Macaca fascicularis: one gene and its partner. The protein of the gene in region 2 purifies or fractionates together with the protein of the main gene of each other region. This does not show direct contact. Links are inferred from orthologs where the notes say so. Each region holds a gene or a part of one and is shown on either strand. Other genes may lie near its edges. The genes, in order: DUSP6 and MAPK3.

What was found.
Region 1: the proteins of MAPK3 (region 2) and DUSP6 purify together in Homo sapiens (affinity purification with mass spectrometry; 7 studies listed by BioGRID and IntAct, with this or other methods). This does not show direct contact. The link is inferred for Macaca fascicularis from reciprocal best matches to the Homo sapiens genes MAPK3 and DUSP6.

Annotation. Positions count from the first base shown.
Region 1 is NC_088385.1:96,314,609-96,322,274, reverse strand, and holds the start of DUSP6 (dual specificity protein phosphatase 6), read left to right. Parts: upstream 1-3,517; 5' UTR 3,518-3,981; coding exon 3,982-4,381; intron 4,382-4,995; coding exon 4,996-5,433; intron 5,434-6,459; coding exon 6,460-6,767; 3' UTR 6,768-7,666. UniProt on the Homo sapiens protein: Dual specificity protein phosphatase, which mediates dephosphorylation and inactivation of MAP kinases. Has a specificity for the ERK family. Plays an important role in alleviating chronic postoperative pain.
Region 2 is NC_088394.1:27,976,898-27,983,846, reverse strand, and holds the end of MAPK3 (mitogen-activated protein kinase 3), read right to left. Parts: intron 6,090-6,949; coding exon 5,900-6,089; intron 5,717-5,899; coding exon 5,600-5,716; intron 5,339-5,599; coding exon 5,224-5,338; intron 4,841-5,223; coding exon 4,709-4,840; intron 4,559-4,708; coding exon 4,449-4,558; intron 4,354-4,448; coding exon 4,231-4,353; 3' UTR 4,199-4,230; intron 2,269-4,198; 3' UTR 1,668-2,268; downstream 1-1,667. Other genes in the region: lysophospholipase D GDPD3, read right to left, coding at 64-109, 199-334, 576-618, 894-1,032.

The DNA of each region.
Region 1 (7,666 bases), on a different chromosome or scaffold from region 2:
ACTTGTGAAGATTAGGATCTATGGCATATTCTAAGGGAGAGAGAAGACGCAACATTTAGTGAATGGCTGACTGATGAAGAGTTGCGTGCAAAGAAAACCACTGATGTGTAAAAGGAGCAGGGAAAGTAGCCTAACTTTTGATCTTTGACCTCTGTAGGGAGGATGCAACAAAAAACGTGAGGCTGGAGAAAGCCTGGAGGTCAAAATTCAAAATGCTTCCCTTGAGATTCTTCATATGTGGGCAGGGAATACCACGTGGAGGTGAGTATAGTGTCCACAACACTATATATAATCCGTGCATGTGGGCATCCTTAAGAGTCTGTAAAGGGTTTGGCCTCACGTCTTGACACTCTCTGTTGCTACTGTGTGACCTTGGGCAAATTCCTTAATCTTTGTAATGGGGATAATTTACGTCTTTTCTGAAGACTGTCCGAAATTATGCACGTAAACACAGAAACAACACGATACCACCCATCGTGTAGTAAGTGCCTAATAGGCATTGTTATATCAGTTTGCTGTGACTGGAGAACACAGTGTTTCAAAGGTAACCAGTAGAGAGAAGTCAGAAATGTAGCTGGGTCCATTCTGATAATCGTGCTAAAGGATTTTGATCCTGGTCCACGATAACACCTCCTTTACTTGACAGCTGAATTGGAACGGATTAAATCGGTTAGGGTAGTACCTCAGAGGGCTTTCCTGGAGATGAGCGAGTGCAGGCGGGCTGTCAAGCAAGCCTCAAGGGGCATCTGTGGGATGCCCAAACCGTGCCCCCAAACCGAGGCCTTTTCACAGATCCTCAATTCAGAAGCATAAAAAATTAATTCCAACAGCTAATAGCACCCCACCATCACTTTAGGACATTTCACCGTACCCATTTTGTTGTCACAGGGACCCTATGAAGCAGATAGTTTTATCTTCATTATAAAGAAGACTGCAACTTAGAACAACTAAATGATTTAACTAAGGGCGCATACCTAGGAAGAACTGGGGGACATAATGCAAACGAGGGCCGTCCCACTCCAGAAGCCCTTTTCTCAGCATTTCTAGGACTGAGCGGTCAGAACGCCACTTAGCCAATGCGCCAGGAAAGATCGGCATTCCCTTGGCAATAGAGTTCAGAAGCATGGGTAAAAACTACAGTTTCGATGTATCCTCTCGAATCTATAGTCATAGTCAGGTAGCTGCGTATTAAAACAGGCAAAGTGGAAACCCAACTTCCCTCCCTTTCTCTTCTGTTGGAGGTGCTGCGCTGAATCTCCAACAGGTTTGCTCTTCTCAGTTCCTCTGCAGGGCATCCTGCCTCTTCCCTCCCTGTCCCCAGGTCCCAATGACTGAAACGTCTCGGGGTGGGAACTTCTGTGACAGATCGGGGAGGATAGGGGGAGTCAACTCCAGCGCAGGCCTCCCACGGCTGAAACTAAAAGATACCCAGTGAAATATAGGAGTTTTGTTCCAAAGGCTGCCCAAAAATGGTGCGGAGAAGAGCTCGGCAATCCCCACCTTCGTCGAACACGCTCCTCCAGGGGCGGCCTGCCTGCAGCAGAGCTCCAAAATTGGCAACCTGGGCCTCGCAGCCGCCTTTTTTTAGCCTACATTTCCCAAACCAGGGAAGAGGCGGGTAACTAAAAATGCAAATTGCAGCGGGGGTGTCAGCAGGCATGCCCGTGGGTGCGGGGCGTCGGGCGAAGGGAGACCCCGCGACCTTAGGCGCCCTCGCGGTGTTCACGGTGGGCGCAAAGCGCAGCGAGGGACGCTCCCCAAAGCCGCACCCCGCCGGGCGGCTGCCCCCGCTTCCGCCTCTCAGGCATCGGCGGGACAAAGCGCGGCCTCTTTTCCGCCGGGGTTTAGGGAGGGGAGGCCGGATTAGGGCCCGCGCCTTCCGGCCGTGGCCCTCCCGCGCCGAGCTGGCCGCACACAGGTGGTTTTCCGCTCGGGAGGGGCAGGCCTCGGCACTTTTATATAACAATAGAGCTCTGCGCGCCGGGAACGCGCCTCCCCGCCGCCGCGGCCCCCACCCGGCCACGCCTCCATCCGGCTTCCAGTCCGTCCGCCCCGCGGCGCCTGGGCCGAGCGCTGCTCACTGGCCTGGCCGGCACCTCCCCAAAGTTACCTGCTGGCTCTGCAGGGCGGTAGAGACGTTCCCCTCGACTCCTTGGGAGCCAGGAGCCAGGGGGGTCCAGGCAGGCACTCGTCCTTGCTCCTCCCACCCGCCCCACATCTTTATGGAACCGGGAGTCCCGCGCTCAGCCCAGTACCCGTCCACTGCATCGCGCACAACCCCCTGCCCGCCAAGCGGGGAGACGGGGACAGCGGGGCGGTGGCAGGGAGCGCAGCGCGCAGGCGCGACTAGTGCTCCCCGGAGTGCCCGGCGCTGGACAAAGGGAGGAGGCGGCGGCAGGAGAGGGCTGGGGAGGCCCCCTCTGACATGCCTCCCTGCCAACTAACCAATCGTCAAGCCCCCCTGCTGAGGCCCCGCAGCCTGCAGGCCTTCCCCACTCCTCGCCCATGGCGGGGACTGCCGGCCTGGCCCGGCGCGTCCCAGCACACCTCGCCCAGGCAGCCCCGCCAGACCGGCTCCTCCGTCAGAAGCCGAGCTCCTTGCCCAGAAATCATTAACGAGCGCGACCCCCCAGCAGGCGACGGTGGTGATGGGGTGGGGGGAGAGATTTAGATCCCCGGAACAATGGCTTGTAACTCCCCACGCCGCTGGAGCGGAATACAGTAAAAGCACTGGACTGACCTAAGAGTTTGTTTCTGCACTCTACATTGTTTTAAAGAAAATAAAATGTTACTTTAAGAAAAAAGGTTTCCTTCTGATTTTCTGAACAACCAGACGTTTGTTTGTTTGCTTTAAAATGTTTCAACAAAATCCTGGTTTGTTTCGAAATATGTTGGATTAGCATTTAACACCTCATCGGTCACTAAAGCCCAGTCAATTCACCAGCCCCAACACAGCCTCGGCTAAAAGAACATCAGAGCAAACAGAGCTAGGCCTTTAAAACTGGCAAACAAATGCCACACACCGCCTAAAGAAGGGGGGTTGGGGGAGGGGAGGGTTAAGGCGAACTTGGGTCCAAATGAGTTTGAAGAGAATACAAAGAACAAAAAGTCAGCACAAGTTTTCCTAAAGCTAGCTCGCGAACGCTAGCGTCGCGAACAAGGGCTTTTGTGCATGCTAATTGCGCCATTGGTGCGCAAAAGTTCCGACGCGAAGTGTGAACTCTCAACAGAAGGAAACATGAGACAACTGAAGTGCCCTGGTTTATGTGCCCTGCTCCTCCTCCGCTGCCGCCTCCCCTTCTTTCTCCTTCCTCCCGCCGAGCCCGCTGTTGCAGCTTGTTTGCACTGGGGCTTATCCGGAGCGGAAATTCCTTTCCGTTTTTGTGAATGACAAACTCATTAACAATTCATCAACACAACCTGTTCCAGCCGGCCCGTCCCCACGGCAACAGCCCCTTCCGCAGCACGCTCATTGGCTGGCCCGGAGAATGTATCCATTGAGACGCTCGCTGTTTGTATCCATTGAGGAGCTGCCTCGCGCAGGGGGTGTGCGAGGCTGAGTCCAAGGGATAGTGAGCAAATCGAGTCTTAAATAATCCGGGGAGAAAGACGCCCGGGTAGATTTGAGGTGCAGACTTGGCGGGAGGGATTAGGAACCGCTAGACTTTTTTTCCTCCCCTCTCAGTAGAACTGAGTCCGAATTAATTGGATTTCATTCACTGGGGAGGAACAAAAACTGTCTGGGCAGCTTCATTGAGAGATTCATTGACACTAACAGCCAGCGGCTGCAGCTGGGTGCAGAAAGAACCTCCGGCTTTACTTCTGTCTCGTCTTCCCCAACCGCTAGCCTCGGCTTGGGTTAGGCGAGGCGGAATTAAACCCCGCTCCGAGAGCGGCAGCTTCACGCGCAGCGCGCTCGGCCTATGCCTGCCCCGAGGGGCGTCTGGTAGGCACCCCGCCCTCTCCCGCAGCTCGACCCCCATGATAGATACGCTCAGACCCGTGCCCTTCGCGTCGGAAATGGCGATCAGCAAGACGGTGGCGTGGCTCAACGAGCAGCTGGAGCTGGGCAACGAGCGGCTGCTGCTGATGGACTGCCGGCCGCAGGAGCTGTACGAGTCGTCGCACATCGAGTCGGCCATCAACGTGGCCATCCCGGGCATCATGCTGCGGCGCCTGCAGAAGGGCAACCTGCCGGTGCGCGCACTCTTCACGCGCGGCGAGGACCGGGACCGCTTCACCCGGCGCTGCGGCACCGACACAGTGGTGCTCTACGACGAGAGCAGCAGCGACTGGAACGAGAATACGGGCGGCGAGTCAGTGCTAGGGCTGCTGCTCAAGAAGCTCAAGGACGAGGGTTGCCGGGCGTTCTACCTGGAAGGTACGCGCCCGGGGAACTCCGCGCGCGGGGCAGGGCGAGGGGCGCAGGGCTGCGGGCGGGGCGCGTGGACTGAAAATGCCTCTGCTGCGCTCAGCTGGCGCTTCGGAGCCGCGCTGCTAGCCTAGGGGCCGGCAGCCGGCAAGGTATCGGCCGCGAACCGCGCGTTCCGCACCAGAGAACCGGGCCGGCTCAGAATCCACCCGCTTCCGGCTGCGGGTACCGGCGGTTTCTTTCTAACGGGTTCTGCGCCTTCTTACCCAGAACATTCTCCTCCATCACCCTATTTTCTATCGTTCGATTTTGAATTAAGATTTGGAGGACCGGAGAGATTGTTGGGGATGCAAATTGGCACATCCTAGCTTTCAAAATATTCCAAAAAGTTGCCATTTTGTGTATTTCCGGATTCAAACGAATAAGGGTTCTCTGGCGAGGCGGGCCCGTTCGTTCCATTCCCGAGGGTGCACATTTAAAGTGTATTTCTATTATTTATGGTTCTGTATGTAGGGGGTTCGTAGGGTGCTTGTGGTGTTTCTTGCGCCGGGTTGCGGTTCTTACAAGCTGTGAAAACTACTACGGCTTCTCGGGTTACACGATTGCTTTTCTCGTTCTGGCAGGTGGCTTCAGTAAGTTCCAAGCCGAGTTCGCCCTGCATTGCGAGACCAATCTAGACGGCTCGTGTAGCAGCAGCTCGCCGCCGTTGCCAGTGCTGGGGCTCGGGGGCCTGCGGATCAGCTCTGACTCTTCCTCGGACATTGAGTCTGACCTTGACCGAGACCCCAATAGTGCAACAGACTCGGATGGCAGTCCGCTGTCCAACAGCCAGCCTTCCTTCCCGGTGGAGATCTTGCCCTTCCTTTACTTGGGTTGTGCCAAAGACTCCACCAACTTGGACGTGTTGGAGGAATTCGGCATCAAGTACATCTTGAACGTCACCCCCAATTTGCCGAATCTCTTTGAGAACGCAGGAGAGTTTAAATACAAGCAAATCCCCATCTCGGATCACTGGAGCCAAAACCTGTCCCAGTTTTTCCCTGAGGCCATTTCTTTCATAGGTGAGACTAATTAATAGTAGTCGTTCTGACATTTAAATGCAAAATTCCCAGCCATTCATAGAGTTTAAGCTGTTAATCGTTCTTGCTGCTTGCTAATTTGTCGTACTGCAGGTCTCTAATTTTCCTAAAGCGTCCTTAATTCTGGTTTATCTTCTCGCTAAGGGAAGAAAACCTGCCTTTTGATATGGCTGCAGATTACAGGTGTATTTGAAACGCTGTTTCTGTGAATCTTTGAATTCAGTCATTTGACAGTCGTTCATAATCGGACAACAGATTTTTCCCACAGTCTTGGACTCAGGGGAAGGGTCAGATAGAAGTATTCACTATAGACAGAAATTCCAGCATTGCTTTATAATTTTAAAAAACCTAGGAGTTATTTTAGGACGTCAAGTTAGTTGTTGGAAAGCAGTATGAATGCTAAATGTTATCCAGTTGAATGATACTGTGATACTGGTAACAGTGAGACAGTGGGTAACCTGAGCCCAGAAGGAAGAACTGTGGGCTGGAAGCCTGGGAGAAGTGAATCTCCAGGCATTGTAATGCATTTCCTATTACAAAGGAACTCATTTTCAGGCCATGTCGACATCCTGTTCCTCCTAATGGGCCGTCCCCTGTGACTTCCCTCTCTCTTTTAAAATGCCTGAATACCTCCATTGTTAGCTGCACAACATTTGGAGAATAATTTAATAGACCCTTGCAGTCTGGTTGTCTGTATAAAAGGCATTCACGAACATATTGCAGGGTTTCTGGTATTCACATGCTGAGGCAAAGAATGCACCCATTAAGGAGTTTTTTGTTGGCAGAAACTTAATACAAAAGCTCTCTTTTCAGAAAATATCTGAAATATGTAATTGTGTCCAGTGTACATGTTTAATTTCAATGATACATTTTCTGCTGCTTGTAGGGCTCAACTGCCACACACAACTATTATTACTATTATATTTTTAAGTTCACTTCTTAGACTGATCATTCACAAAGGGTGGTTTTCAGTCTACTGAGATCTTGCTTTTCTTTTTGTGTTCACAGATGAAGCCCGGGGCAAGAACTGTGGTGTCTTGGTACATTGCTTGGCTGGCATTAGCCGGTCAGTCACTGTGACTGTGGCTTACCTTATGCAGAAGCTCAATCTGTCGATGAACGATGCCTATGACATTGTCAAGATGAAGAAATCCAACATATCTCCTAACTTCAACTTCATGGGTCAGCTGCTGGACTTCGAGAGGACACTGGGACTCAGCAGCCCCTGTGACAACCGGGTTCCAGCACAGCAGCTGTATTTTACCACCCCCTCCAACCAGAATGTCTACCAGGTGGACTCCCTGCAATCTACGTGAAAGACCCCACACCCCTCCTTGCTGGAATGTGTCTGGTCCTTCAGCAGTTTCTCTTGGCAGCATCAGCTGGGCTGCTTTCTTTGTGTGTGGCCCCAGGTGTCAAAATGACACCGGCTGTCTGTACTAGACAAGGTTACCAAGTGCGGAATTGGTTAATACTAACAGAGAGATTTGCTCCATTCTCTTTGGAATAACAGGACATGCTGTATAGATACAGGCAGTAGGTTTGCTCTGTATCCATGTGTACAGCCTACCCATGCAGGATTCGAGGACTTCCAGGCGCATAGGGTAGGACCAAATGGTAGGGTAGGAGCATGTGTTCTTGAGGGCCTTGTAAGGCTGTTTCCTTTTGCATCTGGAACTGACTATATAATTGTCTTCAATGAAGACTAATTCAATTTTGCATATAGAGGAGCCAAAGAGAGATTTCAGCTCTGTATTTGTGGTATCAGTTTGGAAAAAAATCTGATACTCCATTTGATTATTGTAAATATTTGATCTTAAATCACTTGACAGTGTTTGTTTGAATTGTGTTTGTTTTTTCCTTTGATGGGCTTAAAAGAAATGATCCAAAGGGAGAAAGAGCAGTATGCCACCTCTTAAAACAAAACAAAACAAAAAAATTGTGCTCTTTTCTAATCCAAAGGGTATATTTGCAGCATGCTTGACTTTACCAATTCTGATGACACCTTTATGGACACTATTATCACTAAGAGCTTGTTATGGCGAAGTCTTTAGTCTTTTTCATGTATCTTCCTCATGATTTTTTTCTCTTTATGTAGTTTGACTATGCCTTACCTTTGTAAATATTTTGGCTTGTGTTGTCTCAAAGGGGATAATCTTGGAAAGACACCAAATCATGGGCTCACTTAAAAAAAAAAAAACCCTTCAGCTGTGCT
Region 2 (6,949 bases):
CCAAAGCGGGGGTCCAGGGAAGGCGGGCATGGCCCAGGCAGGGCTTGAAGCCCTTGCTCTCACCTGGAGAGAAGTAAACCTCCAGCTCCTCCTTGTAGAGGGGCAGGTCCTGGGGAGGACAGGAAGGATGTCACTAGAGGCCTGCATTGGGCATGGCGACTCTCAGGGTGGGGGTTGGGGTGTCAGGGCAGGGCCCACCTCGAAGTCCAGGCTGCCCACATCCCTGTTCAGGCCCGACTGGCGGTACAGGTTCTCATCATGTGACACCACCACCACTTTGTCTCGTGTCAGCTGACAGTCGAGCTCCAGGAGGTCTGAGCGCTGGGCCATGGAGCTGTGGGGGCGAAGGTTAGCTGCGGGGCGGCGGGGGTTTGGGGGGCAGGGGACTGGGATGATGGACATGGTGGTGGGGAGGTGGCGGGGAATGTGAGAGCAGAGTTCACCGCGGGATGTGCAGGCCACCTCCAGGGGGCGCCAGTCATCCGGTTAGGAAGTGAATGGTGTCCCTTGCTGTGATGCAGTGCACGACCTGCACACCCTCACATGACAGCCTGGGCAGGGGCAGATACACTCACTTCTCCATGGCCTCCATGGTGCTTTCCAGCAGCTCTCCAGATCCTGTGGGGGACACTGGAGTGGGCCCCTGAGGCTTGGGGTCTAGGGGCCTGGCCCGACCTCATCACCCACGTTCCTTCTCTGGGCTCCATCCTCCCTCTGGCCTTACCTCCCCAGCCAGCCCAGGCTGCACCAGCCTCTTCTTCCTTGTCCATACCCTGCCCTGCCACCTTGCTCTCCTTCTCTCTTGGTCCCTGCCCTGTTTCTAGCACGCGCTCTTGGACCTACCCTTCTCTGCTGTCCACTTTGGCACCTGTTCTCACCCCCACCCGGCTCACCTCCTCGGTGGGCCGCCAGGCGGACGCGGAAGGTGGGAGCCCGGGGCGTGTGCAGCAGGTGAGGCCAGCGCAGGAAGAAGATGGAGAGCATGGCATAGCTGCCCAGGGCGGGAAGGGCATAGTACAGCGAAAGGCTCATGTCTGTACTCCCACAGAAGCTCCTGCAGCCGCACACTCAGCCGTCCGTGGGACTGTGCTGCCTGCCTAGCCGGTGTGGGCCGGCTCTACTACTGGCCACTGCCACGCCCGTGGGACCTGCTGAGCCTGCCGCTGGGCTGGCTTGGAGCCAGGCTGCAGGGTTCAGCTGAAGCCGGGGTAGTATCAGATGAGGCAAGCAGCCCTGGCCCTCACATCCCCAAGCCCTTCCCAGACCCCAGCATCCCCCTGTCCTGGGCCACATCGGGGGAGTAAAAACCACCCAGGATTGTTAGGACCTCTCCCTCCCACTGGTGCTTGTAGCCAGCACATCCAACATGCCTACCCCTTGCAGTTTCAGAGGATCCAGGGATGTGTAGGGTGCTCCTGAATCACCCCCAACCAGTTAGACAGGAAGCCATTAGCGTGGGGACAGGACAGTGACCAAGGGGAAAATTGACCCCCTTCTTTCTAGGAGTCTGGAGCTCTCCAGAGCCCCGTCCCCAACCCTGGGCAGCTGGGAGTGAAGGGCACCAGGCCCCAGAAAGCCCAAGTCAAGCAGCAGCTGGGCTGCAGGAGTCTGTCCTCAGAGCTGCACGGGGCAGGGCGGAGGCGTCGCAAACACAGACAGAGCCAGGGTCAGCCATAGACACATCTCTATATTTATATATTAGATGGGTCAGGGAGGTGGCAGGGGCGCTGGGCTCTCCACGCCCCCCAGCTCCACTTCTGCTCACCACACACAGAAGCAGCGAGGGCACTCGAAGTGACAGCTTTGACGGGGAGGGGATTCAGCCCAGTCCGGCTCCTCGGGGATGCTAGCCCTTGAGACTAAGGAATGTTCCTTCAGGGAAGATAGGGTGGGGTTTAAATGAGATGAGGGGGGCAGGCCTGGCCCTGAGTCCCTACTCAGCGCCCCCCACCCTCCACCCCTGCCCCTCAGCAGGTCAGGGCAGCCAGAGCCCCTCCATTCTAGAACTGCCAGAGACTGGGACACTGGGGAAGGTAAGGGTGCAGCAGCAGCAGTGGGAGATTGAACTGGGGCCACCTGAGCCCCCGAGGTCCTGTGGGAAGGGCGGCTGGGGAGGAGGCCTTGGCCTGCCTAAAGCTGGAGGCCTCAGCAAAGGAGAGAGGTGGCCAGGCCCATGCTCCACCCCGGTCTGGGCTGCCAAGGTCTGGGCTCGGCACAGTGTCCATTTTCTAACAGTCCGGCGGGAGAGGGGCAGGCAGGAGGCAGGTCCTAAAGAGAGAAGCAGACAGAAAAGGAGTCATTAGCATACCCCAGGCAGACCCGCGGGAGCCCTGACCTGAACGTCTCTCACCCTCACAGCTGGATAGGCTGGGTCTCAGTTTCCTTATCTGTAAATGGAGATAATAATAGTACCTAGCTGGAGGTACTGCTGTAAGATTAAAGGAATTAAGACATGTAAACCTCTTAGAACAATGCTTAGGGTTTTATGCTTTCATTATTAGAACAGTCTCAGCTGGGCACAGTGGCTCATGCCTGTAATCCCAGCACTTTGAGAAGTCGAAGTGGGTGGGTCACTTGAGCCCAGGAGTTTGAGACTGGCCTGGGCAATATAGCAAGACCCCAACTTTAAAAAAAAAAAAAAAATTAGCCAGTTGCAATGGCTCGTCCAGCCAGCTGGGAGGATCCCTTGCGCCCCAGGAATTTGAGGCTGCATTGAGCTATGATTGCACCACTGCACTCCAGCCTGGGCGACAGAGTGAGACACTGTCTTAAAAAAACGAAAACAAAAAAAAGATAAATAGAACTGACTCCAGGAAACTGAGGTGCAGAGAGGTGAGGTGCCTTGCCCAATATCACACAGCACTTACTAAGTGGCACAGCTGGAGTTTGAGCCCAGGTATGCACGCCTTCCTCCTATTAGGCCACACCTGGCTGAAGACAGGAAGAGACCAGAGGAGGCAAGGAGGCAGTGTGGGTGGGGGCAGGCCCAGCAGGGTCCCCACAGCTATGTGAACTGCTGATCTGGCAGCAGGTGTGAGGAGGCCTGGCAATCTGGGTCAGGCTGGGTGCTGCTGGGCCCCTCCCAAAGCAATCATGGCCCCACCTGCTTCTGCCACACCCAGAGCCGAAGCCTGGGTGACAGGGCCCCTCAGTGACCTCTTGCCTCTTTACCAGTTCTGTTCCCAGAAGGAGATTAGAATGGCTGCTGGGGCTGGAGGATGCAGGGTGTTGACAGGTGGAGACATTTGGGGCTGGAGGACTGGGTGGGCCATGAGTCTGGGCAGCACTTGGGCATTTTTTTTTTTTTTTGAGATGGAGTCTTGCTCTGTAGTCCAGGCTGGAGTGCAGTGGTGTGATCTCAACTCACTGCAACCTCTGCCTCCTGGGTTCAAGCAATTCTCCTGCCTCAGCCTCCCAAGTAGCTGAGATTACAGGCACACGCCACCACACCTGGCTAATTTTTGTATTCTTAGTAGAGACGGGGTTTCACCATGTTGGCCAGGCTGGTCTCGAACTCTTGACCTCGTGATCCATCACCTTGGCCTCCCAAAGTGCTGGGCTTACAGATGTGAGCCACTGTGCCTGGCCCCCCCTTTTTTTTTTTGAGACAGAGTCTCACTGTTGCCCAGGCTGGCGTATAGTGGTGCAACCTCCGCCTCCCGGGTTCAAGCAATCCTCCCACCACAGCCTCCTGAGTAGCTGGGACTAGAAGCGCATGCCTACACACCCGGCTAATTTTAGTATTTTTAGTAGAGACAGGGTTTCACCACATTGGCCAGGCTGGTCTCGAACCCCTGACTTCAGGTGATCCACTCGCCTCAGCCTCCCAAAGTGCTGGGATTACCAGAGTGACCCACTGTGCCTGGCTAATTTTTGTATTTTTAGTATAGATGGGATTTCGCCATGCTGGCCAGGCTGGTCTCAAACTCCTGACCCTCAGGTGATCCACTCATCTCAGTCTCAGTCTCCCAAAGTGCTGGGATTCCAGGCATGAGCCACTGCACCCAGCCCCCGGGCACTTCTGTTGTCACCAGACACACCGAGCATGGGTGCAGGGTAAGCTTGCTGCTATATGGAGGCACATACAAATACAGATATAGATATTGATATAGATACAGATACAGATAGAGATATAGATAGATATAGATACAGGTATTTAGTATCAGCGTATCTGTGTGCCGGCCATGGGGACACTCACCAGGCCCCAGGGTGCAGGGATGTCTGTCTGGGTTAGGGGGCCTCTAGCGCCCCAGGCTGGAAGCGTGCTGTCTCCTGGAAGATGAGCTCCTTCAGCCGCTCCTTAGGTAGGTCATCCAGCTCCATGGCGAAGGTGAAGGGCTCCTCGGCCACTGGCTGGGGTGGCAGAGACAGCAAGGCTCAGGCCTGGCATGGGGGATGCCTACTTACCCCCCTGCCCCTGGCCCTACTGCTGCTGGGGACTGGCCCACCTCATCCGTCGGGTCATAGTACTGCTCCAGGTAGGGGTGAGCCAGCGCTTCCTCCACTGTGATCCGTTTATTGGGGTTAAAGGTTAACATCCGGTCCAGCAGGTCAAGGGCTATAGAAGGGCAGGAGTCAGGGGTCACAGGGAAGACTGGAGAAGCTCCCAGAAGCATCACTTTGCCTGTCTCCTCCAGCTGCTGCTGGGCTCCCGTACCCTCCATGGCACCCAGGGTTTATCCCACACCCGTCCTCATGTCTCTCAAACCTTTGGAGTCTGACTTGGGGAAAAGCTTGGCCCAAGCCACCTTGGTCTTGGAGGGCAGAGACTGTAGGTAGTTTCGGGCCTTCATGTTGATGATACAATTCAGGTCCTCCTGGGATGGGGAGCCCAGGATGCCTGTGGATAAGGAGGTGACTTGGTAAATGATCACCTCCTTCTTTCTGGGAACAGAACAGGCAACAAGGCAAGAACAAGACCCCCAGCCCAGCAACCCATGCCAATCCCTCAGTTACCTCCTAGTCATTAGCATGGTGGTGCAGAGCAAGGGGGCTGGATTCAGGCAGACCGAGGCTCAAATCCTAGGTCTGGTGCCTCCTTAGGTGTGGGACTTAGACTTGCTTTTCCCATCTATCCAATGGGGATAATATCTATACCTCATTGAGATACCATGAGATGCTGGAGGCGCCCCACACGTGGTGGTATCCCTGACTTGGACTCTTGAGAAATCTCACCTTGGAGAAGGTAATCATCCCCCACTCAGCCAGCCGGGCCTCCCTCACCCAGAATGTGGTTGAGCTGATCCAGGTAGTGCTTGCCAGGGAAGATGGGCCGGTTAGAGAGCATCTCAGCCAGAATGCAGCCCACAGACCAGATGTCGATGGACTTGGTATAGCCCTGGGAGAGAGGAGGAAGTGGTGGGCTCCTGGGCCAGCCTCAACAGGGTCCTGTTTCTACACCAAGCCACCATCTCCAAGTTAGATCCAACACCAGGCAGAAGGCAGAGGCCTGGAGGGCTCAATGCTCAGCTTCCTTGCAGAGCCCAAGGCCCAGAGGGTGGAATTCCTGTGTCATGGGGGTCGGTATCTGGCTCGGAGGTAGCTCCAGGGCTTCCTGGGACCTGGTCCCTTCCCTTCAGGAGTGGGCAGCCCCTCCTACCTTGGAGTTCAGCATGATCTCTGGGGCCCGGTACCAGCGTGTAGCCACATACTCCGTCAGGAAGCCGGTGTGGTCATGCTCAGGATCGGCAATCCGGGCCAGGCCGAAATCGCAAATCTGGAATCAGACCAAGCTGCTAAGCTCGGTGCTCAAGGCCTCTGCAGCTTAAGCAGTCACGCCCCCTTGTCTTTGCCTCCACTGTTCCCCTTGCTTGCAATGTTCTCCTGCCCAAGGCTTCTACTGGTCACCTGGAAGCCCCAGACCCTGGGGGAGGAGGGGACAGGTGCCCAACCCTCTGACCTTAAGGTCGCAGGTGGTGTTGATGAGCAGGTTGGAGGGCTTTAGATCCCGGTGGAGCACATTAGCGGAGTGGATGTACTTGAGGCCCCGCAGGATCTGGTAGAGGAAGTAGCAGATGTGGTCATTGCTCAGTTGCTGGCTTTTCAGCAACTTGTACAGGTCAGTCTCCATCAGGTCCTGCACAATGTAGCTGAGGATGGTTCCGGAGACCCCCGGGGAGGGGGCAGCGGGAGGCACTTGGTTAAGGAAAACAGGCTCTGAAGGCGAGGCTGCACATCTCCTCCAGCCAGGGCCCCTGGGACTCAATAGATCTGCCAACCTGCACCACCAGCTGGGCAAGCTGCTGCCGTTACCCAGCGGCAGGGCTCTGAGCCTCTGTCGCGTCACCGTTGCTGATCCTGAGCAAGGGGCTTCACTTCTGTGGCCTCAGTTTCCCTACCGGGGAAACAGGGATAATAATAAACTGTGGGAGGCCGGAGAACTTCACAGTTAAGAGCAGCAACTTGGGCCAGGAGTGGTGGGTCACGCCTGTAATCCCAGCACTTTGGGAGGCTGAGGCGGGAGGATCGCTTGAGGCCAGGAGTTTGAGACCACCAGCCTGGGCAACATGGCAAAACTCTGTCTCTACTGGTAATACCAAAATTAACTGGGGACAGTGGCATGTGCCTGTAATCCCAGCTACTCGGGAGGCTGCAACACGAGAATCACTTGAACCCGGGAGACAGATGTAGTGAGCCGAGATCATGTCACTGTACTCCAGCCTGGATGATAGAGTGAGACTCTGTTTCAAAAATAAATAAATAAATAAATTAAAAAAAGAAAACTACAAAAAGAGCAGCAACTCTGGACTTAACCCATGGAAGTCTGAAATCTCCTCTCTACTACTTACTGGCTTTAGGAGCTCAACCTGTCTGTGCCTCAACTTTCTCATCTGGTATGTAGGGGAAATAATGTGTTTTTTGTTTGTTTGTTTTCTTTTTATTTTATTTATTTATTTTTTTTGAGACGGAGTCTCGCTCTGTCACCCAGGCTGGAGTGCAGTGGCCGGAT